Lepisosteus oculatus: one gene and its partner. The protein of the gene in region 2 purifies or fractionates together with the protein of the main gene of each other region. This does not show direct contact. Links are inferred from orthologs where the notes say so. Each region holds a gene or a part of one and is shown on either strand. Other genes may lie near its edges.

Region 1 (7,941 bases), on a different chromosome or scaffold from region 2:
GAATGCTTTAGAGTCATTCGTGTCAGGCAACTGGTGTGGCTGACTTACCTGCGAGGTATTCTGAGAAACTGCTTGTTCTCTTCATGAAGCTTTTTAATCCTCTTGCTCTCTTCTGGTGTCAGTAAACCTGTTCTGGCTTCAGCAGGAACAAACTTGATGTTGAGCTTTTCTGAAAAGCCAAGATACAGCAATTATGTCAGAAGGCAAACAACACACTCTTATAGTCTGCCAATAAAATCACTGTCCATTACTCTGAGCTCACCAAACTATAATAGGCTACAATTTTGGGAGTACACTCCAGCTTGCTCACACTTTCAAAAGTGACGTGACACGTTAATAAGAGTTGTTAAAAGGCAGCTTAAACCAACTAGGGAACAAGTTGTAGTAGTAATAATAATAATAATAATAATAATAATAATAATAATAATAATAATAATAATAATAATCTTTATTTTATATAGCGCCTTTAAAGGTGGCTTCTCAAAGCGCTTTACAGGATGACATTAACAATAAATAAGAAGACTACAACAATAAATAAGAAGATTTCACAAGACACAATTATAATTACAACAATACAACAATAACAATAGAGGAGACCGTGGAAGGTGGTATTAAGAAGAGCAGAGGGGTGAAGAGTGGGACAAGTTAAGTAAAGGCTTTTCTGAAGAAGAAGGTTTTGAGTCTGGATTTAAAGGAGTTTAGAGAAGGTGACTCTCTGATATCCTTGGGCAAAGTTCCAGAGCTTGGGGGCATAGCAGGAGAAGGCCCTGTCCCCCATACAATGTAGACGGGCTTGGGGGACAGTAAGGAGGGCAGAATTAGAAGAGCGGAGGTTGCAAGGTGGGGAGTAGGGCGATAAAAGTTCAGACAGGTATTGAGGTGCCAAGCCATGTAAAGCATTATAGGTGAGCATGAGGATTTTCAAGTCTACACGGAATTTGACCGGAAGCCAGTGCAAGGACTCCAGGATAGGAGTAATGTGAACACTTGCCCTAGACCTGGTCAGGATTCTGGCTGCTGAATTTTGGACATACTACAGCTTGTTCAGAGTAGATTTAGATACCCCAGGGAGTAGAGCATTGCAGTAGTCAATTCGAGAGAATACAAATATGCTGATCAGCTTGTCAGCCACAGTTAATGATAGCATAGGGCGGAGTCTTGCGATATTTCTAAGGTGAAAAAAAGATGTTTTGACAGTATGCTGTACATGTGGGTCGTATGTTAAGCCAGAATCGAATATAACCCCAAGGTTTTTCAATTTTGATTGAAGCTAGTACAGAGCCATCTACAGACAGGGTTACAGGACTGGCTTTACGAAGTTGATGGGGGGTACCAATAAGCATGACTTCGGTCTTGTCACAGTTAAGATGAAGGAAGTTTTGAGTCATCCAAATTTTTATGTCAGAGATGCAATTAGATAGACTAGAGACAACCACATCGGGTTTGGTATGGATGTATACCAGCTGAGGCCATGTGATCTTAAAAGCTGACCAAGTGGGAACATGTAAATGGTGAAGAGCAAGGGGCCCAGTATTGAGCCCTGGGGGACACCAGACTTGACAAGACCAATTTCAGACCTGTACCCATTGAGAGAGACAAAGTGACAGTGACAGTGACAGAAAGAAAACACAACATTTTGGCTGTGGAGCCTTCTTTGGCTCACACCTGAAGAAGGCTCCACGGCCAAAACGTTGTGTTTTCCTTCTTCTCTTTTCAGCATGGAATAAACCTATTACTTGTTCCTTTGCAGCCTACACATGCTGACGCAGCTACCCACCTGAACTACTTAAACCAACTAAGTTCACTATGATTTTAGGATTTGAAATAATCAAACCATGTTTTGTGTCCCCCTAGAAAATATTGACCGCTCTTTACCTGCAACAAACTCTGTTCCGGCTAGCTCAGCTGTAGCTAAGAATTCATCCAGAGAGCTCTGCTCTGTGACTGACTGCAGGTTCAGACGGCCCCAGTCGTACCCATCATTCAGTTCACTGGTGTGGAGCTGTAAAGGAAACAATATGATCTTGTTACGTTAACACAAACAGCACTTCTTCCATCATGCACTGCATAGTTACCGCAGATCCTCGCTACTCGCACTGCTCAGACAAATCTGACTGTTTTATTAAACCAAGAAGCACATTAAAAGGAGGAAAAATGTACAACTGGGCTGTACTGTACGTCCTCCTTTCTTGAAGTTGAAATCAAAGTTGAGTCACAGAGTGGGGCCTTTTGTTGACATTTTTTGACATCAAGAACATCGAATTATTTTAAAATATCTAGTGCACATACATTTCCAAATGCAATTTCCAGACTCCAAGAATCCCTAAGATACCTTTCAGTTTCTTCTAATTGAAATGATTTGTTTTCTCTGTAAATTTTTACCCGAAGCATCCCATTCATACAGCTCGATACTTTACGATGTGTGTGAAGTACCTTTGCGCAGGAACACACCTGCAGTGTCTCCCCTTTGATTTTAACCCACAGTCTCCCAGTTACAACTGCAGAATCCTAAACCACCTCACACAGCTGTTTTAGGGAAGAAAATCTCCACCATCGCCATCTCCGTCTTTTTGTTTTTCAAGTGTCACCCTGCTAGTCACTTTAAATGCAGAACCCAACACCATTTCCAGAAAACAATTAACAAAAATCATTCTAAAATGCTATTGTACACATAGAAAACTAAAATTATATGAACCATTAGAAGCAGTACTTGTATTTTTTTCCCTGACTGTTATACTCGTCAAGGACTTTAAATCACTTCGAGTTATTAAATAAATGTGAAGTACCCAGGAATCTGCTCTGTTGCCCCGACCTGCCAGTTGCCTCTCCTTTATTAAAGCCCTGCCTAATCCAGCGCCTCCGCCGCCAGTTTTCTTCTTTCCCATTTTCGCGAGTTCACATTAACTTTTTTTAAAAACAACAACTTTCTGAATACGATCCAGTCCGGAGTTCTTCAAGCACAGCAGCAACAGCACCTTCCAAACTGACCATGTGAGCACTGTTGTCATCAGGAAGGAAACGGCTTGGAACAATCTACTTTCTCGAACAATAATGTACACTTAGAACTTTATGGGGGAAAAAACAAATGAAAGAAAACATAAAAAATTATCACCTAAAAATCGCATTTTTAAAGACCATTTGGATTATCAGAACGTATAATATATGCAAAATATATTTAAAATTTAAACAAATGTAGCCTTCTGAGTGTATTGGTACATTCCAGATAGCCTACACATAAACGCTCGTGTAAAACAGCGACAGCGAGTGATAGTTCCCAAATCATGTTATAATGCTCATACAGTAGTTGTGACATACTGGAATTTTAGTCGTACAATTATCCAGGCTGTAAGTTATCTTTCTCGTTAAAGCGAAAATCTTTTGCTCATCATGCTACGAAGCAACGATTCTGTTATTTCAAGAAGAGCACTTGTTTTCAAAGGAACAATTCTCTATTTTAGTAATAAACATTTAAAACAGAACGGGGAAAACTCAAATTTGTGATACGTCGTGGGTCAGTTAAGCCATGAATTAAATGTATTTTAGCAATTTATTTGATTGGTTTTTTTTCATTATAAATTTTGTTTTTTTTTATTTCAATTTAGATTTCTTAAAGAAACAGACAATTGTAATTATATTCTTCCCAAACCAGGCTTCTCAGTGTTAATTCCCCAAGAGATGTTATCTTCACAGACTTTACAGAAATTATATCTTCACAGAAAAACTCTAAAAATGGGCTATGAGGATAACAGAAACCGTATTCAGCTGTAATTTTGCGGATATGGACTCACATAAGCAGATATTTACGGTACAATAAAGAATGCAACAGAATAATAAAACACGATATATAAAAGTTGGTTCTCAATTTCAACAATAGTATTAAAATTTGCTGTGCCTAGCCTTTATAGATGAGAAAAGGTAGACCTCAATTTCAACCCATTGCTTGTAGTGATTCATATTTTAAAAGCAAAACAATTTTTGTGGCATAATTTATGATGGCTGGCACCATGGGCTCTTGGGTTCTGAAGTTCTCCCTGTTATTTTGTAGATTTTGGCAAATTGCTCTCACTAGTTTCATCCCACAGTTCAAAAACATGATGTCTAGGTTAACCGGCATGACTAAATTTTTCCATGTGCGTTTGTTTGTTGTGCACCCTGTGATGGACTAACATACTGTGCCCATTGCCTGCTGAATTAGGCTCCTGGCGCACCACAATCCTGTATAGGATTTACTGATTACTGAAAATGTATGCTAGGATGTATAAATAGACAGTTACTATTTTCAACTTCTTGGATCAAACAATTAAAAGGTAGTTGGCCTTACGTTACTGTGCAATCCAGTATAACAGTCTACACCATTTCTTGGGGGAGCTCTGTGTAAATACCGAAGAAAATACCAGTTGTACAAGATTACAAAGATAACTCAAGTGAATTAAAAATTAGATCACAAAGTTGTGAAAGGTAAAGCACAGGTAATAGCAAACACAAGGCTAAATAATTTCAGATACTTTCCCTGATCTCTTTAGTTTCACTCTGCTCTATATGAACATTTTTGCTACCGCCACCATACTCAAGATGCTTCAAAAAGTAAATAAAGAGTTTTATGCCTGGGATTGTCTTGTTCGAAAATAACCGAGCTGTAATGAAGTACATTTGATAGCCAAAACCTTATCATGCTTTTAAAAAACAAAATTGTTGTGTGGACTCTCTGTCTATAAAAATGTTAGATCCAAGTTAAAGTTCTAAAAGAAAAATTCAAAGATATGGTACTATCCTCTACCATCCAAAATAGTAAAACCTACTCTTTGCTCCATTTTCTGGTGTGGCATTTTCTTTAAGACCGAAAAAAGCTAGGATGCACACATACTTTGTGTGTATGTTTTACAAGTAGCTCTCTTGCAATCCCTTACAATACAGGACAGATTGCAAATGACATTTTATTTAGTATCATTTGAGTTTACAGAATAACTGCAGCAAAGAAATATGTGAGATTCCCGTTAATTTCACTGTGCATTTGTAAGAGCCTGACACTTTATTTGAAACTTGTGATCCTACACACCTGCTAAAGATAAACCTTTTATTGAAAGGACAAACCTACTCCCGGAAAAGGCACTGCAAAACAAAACGACTCATTTCTGAAACTGACATTGGCAGATGAATGTCACACATTTCACAGATCATGCAGATAGTTTATTTTGCAGCCAGTCCTGTGTAAAATCTAGACAAAAAGGTAATGCCTACATCCGATATTTGTCAGTGTGTCAGTTTAAAATATATCACACTCCCTCCCCCACTTTCCATATCAGTCACTTCTAGAGGCCGGCTCGGAAACAATTTTTAGTAAACAAGTCTGCGCGGTAGAGGAAGGATGCACCTTAATGGAAAAAAAGAAAAGAAAAAACATTTTCCTGTGTTTGTGGCCTACTTAATGAGAAATGGTGAGGAATCCCATAACAGCACCAGAATAAAAGGGTTCAGATTTTTTTGTCTAAGCCAGGTCACACCATTTGTGTGATTTTAACACTGAATAAGCAAGGGTTGGGTGGTTCAAATATTATACAAATATTAAGTCACAAATAAGGTTGGACCTGATTAATATTTTATTTGCTTAGGCTGTAAGGATGGAATCAGACCTTGAGGGCAAGCCAATCACTAACATCTCTGCTGGTTATTATTACAATGTATTTTTATAAGGAAATGAGTATCACAAGCAGCAGTTTGTCTAATTTCCCCTTCTGTTTTGTGATTCCCCATCCACTGATATGCATCAGTGCTAGTACACTGTTCGTCATCTGCATATCCTTTTCAAATCCATAAATGCTCTTCCAGAAATCAATGTGTCTGCCAGTGAATCCATGACAAGCACTTGTCAAACGCATTCATCATGGTACATTTACTGTATGGGGCTTCTCTGTGAACTGTAAAAAATACCTGTGTGCCATTGCAATGCCAGAATTTCAGATTCGACAAGTGAAACATTTAAAAATATCCTATTTAGCGTACAATGCATAATGTCATGTTTGCAATAGGTGTATGTATTTTGAATGCACCTATCTGTAATAACACTTATTGTCAATATTTAGAGTGAATCATTTAAAAAACTAAACAATGTGTCTTGAAGGTTGAAGACAACAGCCTGCAGCCCAGGTCATTCTCTAGTTTAAGTCTTCTACAATTAGATTAAATCTTCTTATGCCACGGGTGAGCTCCCTGAGTTGCCCCGAGCAGAAATCGCAAGGTCCCTTGTTATGTCACACGTGTGTTTCCTATGAAAATGATACGGCTGCCTATCTGGGCTGTTACTTTCAGACTGCAGTTCTTGCGATGCCAGTTGTTAAGAAATTTGATCTCTTTCCCTAGTGCTTGCTGAAGATTAAAGCAGAGAACAATAGTGGCAGGTATCTCCCAAACATGCAGAGGTACAGTGTAAAGGAACAAGTAATAGGTTTATTCCATGCTGAAAAAAAGAAGAAAGAGAACACAACGTTTCGGCCGTGGAGCCTTCTTCAGGTGTGAGAGAGACAGGGCAGTAGGCAAAGGTAAAGTAGCGGGAGAACAAAGGCTGGGAGGGAGGAGGAGTGAGAGGCAGGAGCAGGGGACAGAAAGAGAGGCCAATCAAGAGGTGTGAAGTCAGAATGGGTGCAGAGAGGTGTGAAATGAAACTTCCAATGAATGGAGAAAATTTTAAAGAACAGTAATCTGTCATTAAGGGAAGAGAGAATGTGTGATCCCAGCTAAATTATTTTAGTTTCGGTGGTCTTTCTGATGTATGAGAATCAGAAGGTACAGTGTAGTTCGTTTGTACCTGGGGCCCTCTAAAACATAAGTCAAAATGCTATTTTGAGTTGAAAGGAAATACTGTACTTGTCAGAGATTTATTAAATTATTAGATTATGTTAAGCATGTAACAAATATGCATGCTTATGCATGTTTACTCATGTGTTAACTGCCCTGATGTGGTCATCAGAATTTAAAAGCTTTCTTGGTCAGCGTCTACATGGGAAGTTGATTTCTGGTGTAAAACATGTTTCCCATTCTTGATCTCCGTAATTTATTTTTTAGTTATGTGTGAGTGAATCTTTTTTGTAAAATCAGAAATGGAGACAGATCCATTAGAAATGTTGGTCCTCAGATCAGGGCTAAAGAAGGCCATAGTGCAATTTGACCATGTGAGCCAAATAACACATTAAAGGAATCCGAGACGTTTACAGTTTGCATTTTAAAAGCTTTCGAAGTGTGCGTTGTTGTTTTAAATAAATGTTATGATATAATTCATTTTTTCCTAAATCAATGGGTTTTTGTGTGACACCGGTTTAAAGTCATTAAGCTAACCCTAACTTGCATTCAGCTTTTCTTGCAATAGTCTTCCAACAGATGGCGGTATTAAACAATTTTGCAAAAATATTCGATATCGTGTGTAAAGGATTTAAAGTAATACAATCGTTGGTAAAAAGAAACAGTTTACGATTATGTGATGTTTTTTTTTTAAATCAACTCATTACCCCCAAACTATATTTAATACAAACACTCAGTCTCACACATTTTAACATATTATAATGCAGACTGGCATGTTTTGTCCTATATTATGTGCTATAGTTTTATTACTTTTAATTCTGTTTGTGTGGAAATATACAATAGTTCGTAATCCGTTAATTGATTTGTTATGCCTATTTTTATCTGACGTTAAGAAATTAGGTTATTGCACATAATTGTCTAATTTCTCTACGTTTTTCCTTACATGAAAACAAATCGAAATGCCATAGAACATAAAATTAATGCTTTGTTTGAAAAACTGCCGTATGATCCATGTTAACAAGAACACCGTTGTTAGTCAAATACAGCTACCCCTTTAAGAAAAAGTGCTTCAGTTCTCTGGGTTTATCCGTCCTTCGTCTCCCCTGCACTTTTAAGAAAAATGGTTCAATCCAGTGTATATTTACAGCT
Region 2 (7,891 bases):
TCCTACGCCAATCCAAGTGAAACCACCCCTCCATTGTCTGCCCACTTTATCCAACAGAGCGTCGCAGGGGAGACGGAGTCTATCCTAGCCAGCAGCACCAGGTGATTACACGCGTCCTGAATGAATTCGGTGTGTGCAGTCGCCCATCATAGCAGGTGCACCTAGCGATCTGCTACCAGAGCTTGCCAAAAGCACCTTGGCTGTCCCTTTGTGTTAAGTTGCAGGCAGGCCATTCAAAAAAAGTATGTGACACACACCCTGGCGTCTGACAAAGCGTGATCCAACATTCTGCGTCCAATTCCAAGGAGATGCAGATGTTCACAGGGGCAAGAGGTCTTCAACAAGAAAAACAGACGCGAGACTCCCACCACCACGCCACTTGACGCATTTCAGGTTTTACAGTAAGCTCTTGCGTTAGTCAATACCAGGTGCTGGATGTCTCATGTTTCTTGCTTTAAACTACGTAATTTTAGACAGACATTCAAAGTTAAATATACAGCCTGCATATCCTGTTCCTTCAGTTCAGTCTGTACCAGAGCCTACAGCCCCATTAAATCTGAACTGCATCGAAATACCGTGTAACACGGTTACTGCTACTGTGACAGGGCTCGGTGCACTGACGCAAGTTCGACTTCACCCCCTCTGGAAGCTGGACTGACAGCTAGAGGCAGAGACCTGGTCTTTAAGCTAGGCGCAAGTACCCGCTGTCTAGAGAGTGGAGTCGCAGGTGCTCGAACCCAGGCAGGGGCAAGGAGAGCTACACTGGCCACACCACCCAACAAAAGCCTTGTTTCCCTTATTGGGGCACTGCAGAGATGTATCAGAGTGCCCCAGAGCTAGAAGCCTGTCTTGGAAACAAAAAAGGAGCAATTACCTCAAAAATGCAAGCAACATCAGGTTGTTCACATCTCCTAAAAGTCAGAGAATCTGAGACAGCATCTGATGTCAAGCTCTGCTGTCAGAAGAAGACTTCATGTGCTAGCTAGTGTAACAAGGTGGTAAGCTATCATCCTGAATAAGGCAAATCACCACAACTCCTCCACTTGCCCTGCAACTCCTCTTACATGCAGAAGGGCCTCCCATCTAATATTCAACGGAGCACTTGCTGGCCCAATTCTGTGTAATAATACCATGGTAATTACGCTGGGCGGCGTGGTGGTTCAGGGGTCAGTATTGTTGCTCCGCAGGGCTGGGGCCAGAGGGCCATCAGTGTGGAGCTTGTCTGTTCTCCCCATGGTGGCGTAGGCTTCCTCCCATCGTCCAAAGACACACTGTTAAATTAACTGGCTTATAGGAAAACTGACCCTGGTGTGAGTGAGTGCGTGTGTGTGCGCGTTTGTGTGCCCTGTGCTGACTGACGTCCCATCCAGGACGTACCCTGCCTTGGGCTCACTGATTGCTGGGCTTGGCTCTGGCTCTGCCTCAATCCTGGATGGGAAATGAATGGGTGAAAAATCCCATTCACGCTCCCTAAACCAAACAACTTCCTTGAAAAAAACAACAACAGAGTTATCATGAAGGTGGGGTAGCCAGGAAGGTCTCCTGACCTCGGAGTTTTACAATGTCCGGGATATTCTTCAGAAGACACATGCCATCACAGGCAACAGTCTCACAGTCTCTAGCTGGTCGCCGTCCAGAATAAGGAAGTCGAATCCAGCTTGAATTTACCTGCTCTGCAGAGCTGGGGATGATTTCGATCCAAGGAAGCAGTGCAGTAACTTCACTTTGACTATGTGCACCTTTTAAACTCTCTTTCACAACATTCTGGTTTCGATTAGAAACATTACAACGTGTTCTCGCCTCAGATTCCATCCTCCTTGGGTGAAGGGGGATCGATCACCCAGCACCCGTGCCAGATAAAGTTGCGGAGAGGCCTCGTTTCCTTCCCGACTTGTCATATGTCCTTGTGCATTCATTGTTGAAAAACGCTCCTCCGAAAATTCCTGCACAACGGCAGCCATGCAGTTTATCGGCTCACTGTTTAGATTAATGCACAGATTTCACAACCGTGATTCCCTGTTCGTGAGATCAGATTCAGGGCAGTTTCCACCTTTGTCCATTACATCCGCGTATCACACTGCAGAAATGTTTACTTTTTTTCTGGCACGTGGATGTCATCGTCTTTGCCATTTCTCGTCCCCTGCTTCTCACTGATAAGCGACTTTCACTTACAAAGACAAGGAAGACCAGGCGAATCTGGAGCAAAGTGTCCGAAACAATATCAATATCTCCGCTTGCCGCTTTCTAAAGCTTTGCCTGCGATTGCAAAGGCACAAGTTGGATTCATTCAACACCCAGGAACGCAATGCTCCGCACCGCTTCCAAAATAAATCGCACTAAAACCGTGAAATGCAATCTCCTTAGATTGAGTCTTATTCCTGCAAAGGAGTGTCGCCGCCACCACGATTCAAAGCTGTTTCGGGCACAAAAATCCCTGCTCTTTCTCTCAAGCCGTCTGTCGCGTCGCTAGTCCACGTAGCAAAAAAAATAATAATACAGACAACACAAAAATCACACACCGGCGGCTCAGTCCATCGCTGCCGGAGCTCACCTGCAACGCCCGGGCCTGACACATCCACACCACCGACACCCCGACCCCTGTCACCGCGGCTACAATCACACTCCGGCCGGGCGTGCTTGCCAAGGGAAGCCGACGTGGCGACGGGCGCAGCTCAGCCAGCTGCGCTGCGGCGAGAGCCTTCTCGCCTGCCGGCTGCGCGGCTCACGGGAGACCGCGGATCCGCCGCGGCCCACCAACTCCGACTCCCTTCCTCAAAATGGCGGCGGGCAGTTTACCCCGAGTAACCGGAGGGGGGGGGGGAGCGAAATTATCCCCCGATTTGGGTACTCCGGGGCGGCTGCGAAACCCGGCTCCCCCGCCCCGCCACGACGATGGGTCCTTACCTTTGAATTTGAGATCGTTTGGTGGATCGAGGATTAGGATCTGCTCCTGCTTGGACATTTTTGCTGGGGAATTCCGGTGATGGCGGTGCCGAGCTGCCGCTGCGAGAGCGAAAAAAAAAAACCCCGAGAGCAGCACTGAGTCACTGGGCGGCGGGGGCGAGCGCACGAGCACGCGCAGCCCGGGGACGCGCTTCCCCTTTGAAGGGCTGCTCAGCTGCAGCGCAGTGCAGACGCCCTCGGCAGCCACATGCCTTCATATATTGTGATGATGGCCATTCGGTATGTGTCCCGGGTTAAAATCGCTTTATGACACTGGCCCTCCTTTATGTACAATGCGGCAGTGATGCCTGTAACCTGACCACCACAGATCCCAGAAGCTAAGCATAGTTGGGCCTGGTCAGGACAGGGTCCTCTAAGGGAAAGCAGGTTTCTAATCTTAGTGGCTTTCTCCCTCCTGGGTTAGGATTTCCAAACAAGTTCCTGAGTATGGTGCCCAGTGACGCTGATATGTCAGAGGAAACCCCCTACACATGAGAAAAGTCCTCACTACTTGTGGTCATTAAAGATCCCATGACACTCTTCATAAAAGCAGAGTTAAGACTTGGCCGAATTTCACCCTGGACATCCATAACATGGCCTCCCTAACGACTGTTAAAGTGGAAGAGGTATCAGTGGGAGCAGCAGGGGGCGCTCACCCTGTGGCTCATGTGGGTCCTAATGCCCCAGTATAGTGAAGGGGACACAGTTTATGAGGATACTGGAAGAAACTGTATTAAACAGAACTCATACAGAAGAGGAAGTGTTGCAGTATTTGAACCATTTAAGATACTATCTATGTCACAAAAGTAAGTGAGGAAATGATATAAAGTATAAAGAAATCACATGCTGTTGTTGTACATGGAAGGTTATGCCAACATAATTAGCATTAAGGAAGAAGTTAAAGGTTTATTCCAGAGAGGAGGTGGAGGTGTGAGAAAGACAGGGGAGTCAGAAGGGGTTATATAGAGAGTGTAGGGGAGGCGGAGTGGCCACCTCTGTCTTTCTCACACCCTGCTGTGTCCTTGATTCTTCAGTGCTCTGTATCCCTGCTGCCTTCCTCTTTCACACTCACACTTGGAGTAGGCTCAGCAGTCAATTTTTTGTTTTTCTTTTTTCTTTTCAACATGGAGTCTGGGACTGTGGTGGTATAGCATAGGTCCCATGACCGGCAGGTTTTGGCTTCGAGTCACTGCTGAAGACAGGGCTGTTGTACCTTGACTGAGGTGCTTTACTCCAGTTGCTCCAGTCCCCCCAGCTATGTAAATAGAGACCAATATTGCTGGGGGTTAAACCTTGTGAAACAGTGTCCCCTCCAAGCAGAAAATAATTTGTTCTCTCGTCCAGCTAACACTAAGGAAACAAAGACAACCTCTGGCCCAATGAGTTACTGTGGCTCTATTCCTAAACAAGAAGACGTGTGAGGCAGTACTGTTTTACTGAATAGTCAGAATGGTTTTAAAGAAGGTAGATTTTCCTTAACAAACTTGCTGAGCTCTGCGTTCTTTGAAGGTTATTCAATTATGCAAATCCACAGACGAAAATCCAGTGGGCTTCTTCAGGATCATCAGTGAAACACGAACAAGAGGATACAGATAGAAACTATGGGGAGGTACCTTAAAAGAGGGAGAATGGGAGACAAAGTTTTATGGAAGAGTGGAACAAAATATTCAGCCATATTCTTGAAAGTGATACCCTGTTTTCTTCCAAACAGCAGCTGGATGAGATCCTTGGATCTGTTGGCAACTAGCAGTCAAACAAGCTCACTGGACTGAAAGACGTCCTCTTGTAGGGAACCTTTTTAATGTTCTCATGTTTATTTATGAACTCCTGGTTTTTACTTGCATTTTTGTTTTGCTTTGTCTTGGTGGTTCCCTTAGCTTTTAAAAAAATAGAGAAAATCCTCAAATGGCTTTCACAATAACCAGAGTAAATGTGAAGCAACTAAAGTGAAATTCGTGTGGTGACAGTTTTACTCCAGTTAAGAGGAAACGTTCTTTGTGTTTCACAGACTGCTCCCTGCAGTGGTCGTCAGTTTGAGCAAAGGGAACAAAGTGTCGGAAATCCTCTTTCAGTCCAGCTAAGATCAACAAAGGTTTTCAAAGTCAGAAAACATGAAGGGGTACAACTTTGCTCCCTTCTTTTTGTTGGTGCAACAGATGTTGCTCGGACTCGGGGGTCAGGTGGCGATTCCTTCACTCTTCCACAGCAGCCTGAAGCAGCTGCACTGTCTGTGTGTGAGGTAAACACACACGTCTTTAGATTTATTTTGAGGAAAAACAAAATAAAGATCTGCAAAGCAAAATCACTGTTTCCTATACATCATCTATGCCAGTGTACACCCGACTTTAACACGTTTAAACTGGGCTGTAGTATTACAGAAAAAGAAAGACTGTTTGTGATTAATAACAAAATAATGTATATTTCATAATAATACACTGCACACAATTTTATAGCCTCTTCAAACTGAGCATTTCCCATTATGTATTTATGATTTATAGTTTTGGTATTTGCATGTAATATTTTACATTTGTCTGTTTGAAAGATCATCTGCCAGGTATCTACCCCATTTTAAACTTCACCTGAATTCTGAATTATTAGAAATATCTGAATTTTATTTTAATGATATGGAGCCATAATAGAGCTGCACTGACTGTTCAAAGATAACTGAAAGAGTTTTAAGATCCAGGTATTCTTGAGTTGAGACACTTTTCATTAAACTCTCTTCCACATGTGTATACAAGATCCGCAGGGCAGGTTAACAGCTTTACAAAGCCTACTGTCAGGCTGTCAAGGGACACTTGTCTGTGGTATCTGTGTCCTCAAATTGTTGCAGCCAAAAGTTGTTTAAAATAAACTGGCAGGTAGTTCTGCTTTTAATTTACTCCTACACATTGCTAATTGACACAGATTCATGCAGTAGTTCAGCTGTCAGTATCAAATTAGCACCTTCAAAATGTGTCACAGAAATCTCAGTCCTAATTATGAACTATATGTAATGTTCAGTAGTTTTACTACTGCTGCTACTTCTATTATTAACACAGATGAGTACAATACTACTTACCTTTCTGCACATCATTGGATATTTTTGTTCCTATAATACTACACAATACTATTATTGAGAGTCAAATTACATGGAAGGGTGTACCTGTCTCAGCCCACAAATAAAAGCAATGACAATTTGCACATACCTTCCTGCTGGTGTCTACTGGTTTTTCTTATAATGTTACATATCTTTGCTGAAAGACGTACATCAAATATTCAGTGGCATACACTTTTTGTATTTCCTTTCTCATCTTTTACGTTTTAGTTTTCACGCCTTTTGCACTGCGTGATGCTCATAAAGTGTGGAGTTATTTCTCTAACACCAGCCAGAACTCTACAGGACCGAAGCTTCCTTGTAAAAGCTTCCTGCAGCCAGTAGTCAGGGCTGTTGAGAGCAGTAGCGAAAGGTTTTTGAGAAGTTAAGGAATGCAGGTCTCTTAACACAAGACAAAGATTAATCACCCAGAGAATAAACTCAGTGAACAATTCGTCTGTCTGTGGATTGTGATTCTCCCCTCTGAATCAGTACCCTTTGCAGACGTTAAGAATGCCAGCGGTCAACTAGATTTATAGAGCTCCGCAGTCACGTGTACTACTCCAAAAATTTGCTGTTAGTTCCAGTCCATCCAGACAATTTAAACAATGAGCCAGAAAGATGCGGTTCCGCTGTTGTGACACTTCAGCGTGGTGAAATTAAGGAAGCTAATAGTAAGATATTATAAGACATTCAGGATTGGAAACAATTAAGGAAATAGGGTAAATTGAGCATATAATGCTAATCATGTATTACAGATGAAAGCATTTAGTACAAAATGATCAATTACATTATTATAATCATAATACATGATTATAATATGATTTTTCAAAGCTGTGAAATGAATCGCAGTCTGTATATAAAGTTACGTTTTCCATGGCCCTTCAGTTATTTTACGTTATATTGCTGTCAGTGCAAGTTCATTGATATCATATTTTTGTTTTCCAGGGTTAAATTTTAATGCATTTAGGCCTCCAAAGTGTGAAAAACGACTTGGTTATAAATGTGAGTCCCGGTACCACAGACTGAACTGCAGCACACAGGCAGAATTCCCACTGGCACAGTCCTGTCTGAGGTGACATTTCTGGTAATATAATTGATTCCTCATACAGCTAACAAAGCAGAAGACGTTCACAGTACAGCTAACAAAGCAGAAGAGGATTATTTAAATATTTTAATAAATGTTTAACTTTTTTACTTCTCCTTTTTTTTACTCCTTTACTTTGTCTTGAACACTGAGCCAGTTTTGCCACGTATCATGTAAAACGAGCTTTCGAAACAACAGGACGAGATACATGAGAGAGAGCTGCTTCAGCATGTGCAGGCTGCAAAGGCAGGCACAGTTAAAGGTTTATTCTAAGCTGAAAAGAGAAGGCTCCTGCACACCTGAAGAAGGCTCCACAGCTGAAATGTTATTTGTATTGTTCTTTTCAGCATGGAACAAACCTTTACTTAATGCACAGTACCACCGGCCCTCATCATAAAGTATCACACAACATTTCACATCAGCATCACACATCTCCTCACACAAACTCTGCCTATAATTTGAGTACTTGAAGGCATTTTGTATTACATGGATCAATGCCTTTTTACCGTATATGATAGGTTTCAGTAAACGTTGGAAAGCATTCACAAATGAAAAAAACAGGATTTTAGCAGCTGGCGATATGTGATATGGGGCGGGCTGGAAAAAGAGCTGGATTCCTCTGCAGATGTTACTGAGCAGGTTCTCTCAAACCTCCCCACACCCCAGAGCGCCTCGTCACTGACCCCTCCCCATACGCCGTCAACATCCGCCACGCGCTGCTCCTAGCGACAACACTCATCACCTGACCAAGGGCGGAATACTTAAGACATCTCCGAGGGGGAAAT

What was found. Proteins that work in one complex are often made in the same cells at the same time.
Region 1: the proteins of vapal (region 2) and lsg1 purify together in Homo sapiens (co-immunoprecipitation; 4 studies listed by BioGRID and IntAct, counting the BioPlex papers as one, with this or other methods). This does not show direct contact. The link is inferred for Lepisosteus oculatus from reciprocal best matches to the Homo sapiens genes VAPA and LSG1.

Annotation. Positions count from the first base shown.
Region 1 is NC_090708.1:9,096,595-9,104,535, reverse strand, and holds the start of lsg1 (large subunit GTPase 1 homolog), read right to left. Parts: upstream 3,018-7,941; 5' UTR 2,886-3,017; coding exon 2,787-2,885; intron 2,003-2,786; coding exon 1,876-2,002; intron 170-1,875; coding exon 49-169; intron 1-48. UniProt on the Homo sapiens protein: Functions as a GTPase. May act by mediating the release of NMD3 from the 60S ribosomal subunit after export into the cytoplasm during the 60S ribosomal subunit maturation.
Region 2 is NC_090701.1:56,562,986-56,570,876, reverse strand, and holds the start of vapal (VAMP (vesicle-associated membrane protein)-associated protein A, like), read right to left. Parts: upstream 3,043-7,891; 5' UTR 2,963-3,042; coding exon 2,905-2,962; intron 1-2,904. UniProt on the Homo sapiens protein: Endoplasmic reticulum (ER)-anchored protein that mediates the formation of contact sites between the ER and endosomes via interaction with FFAT motif-containing proteins such as STARD3 or WDR44.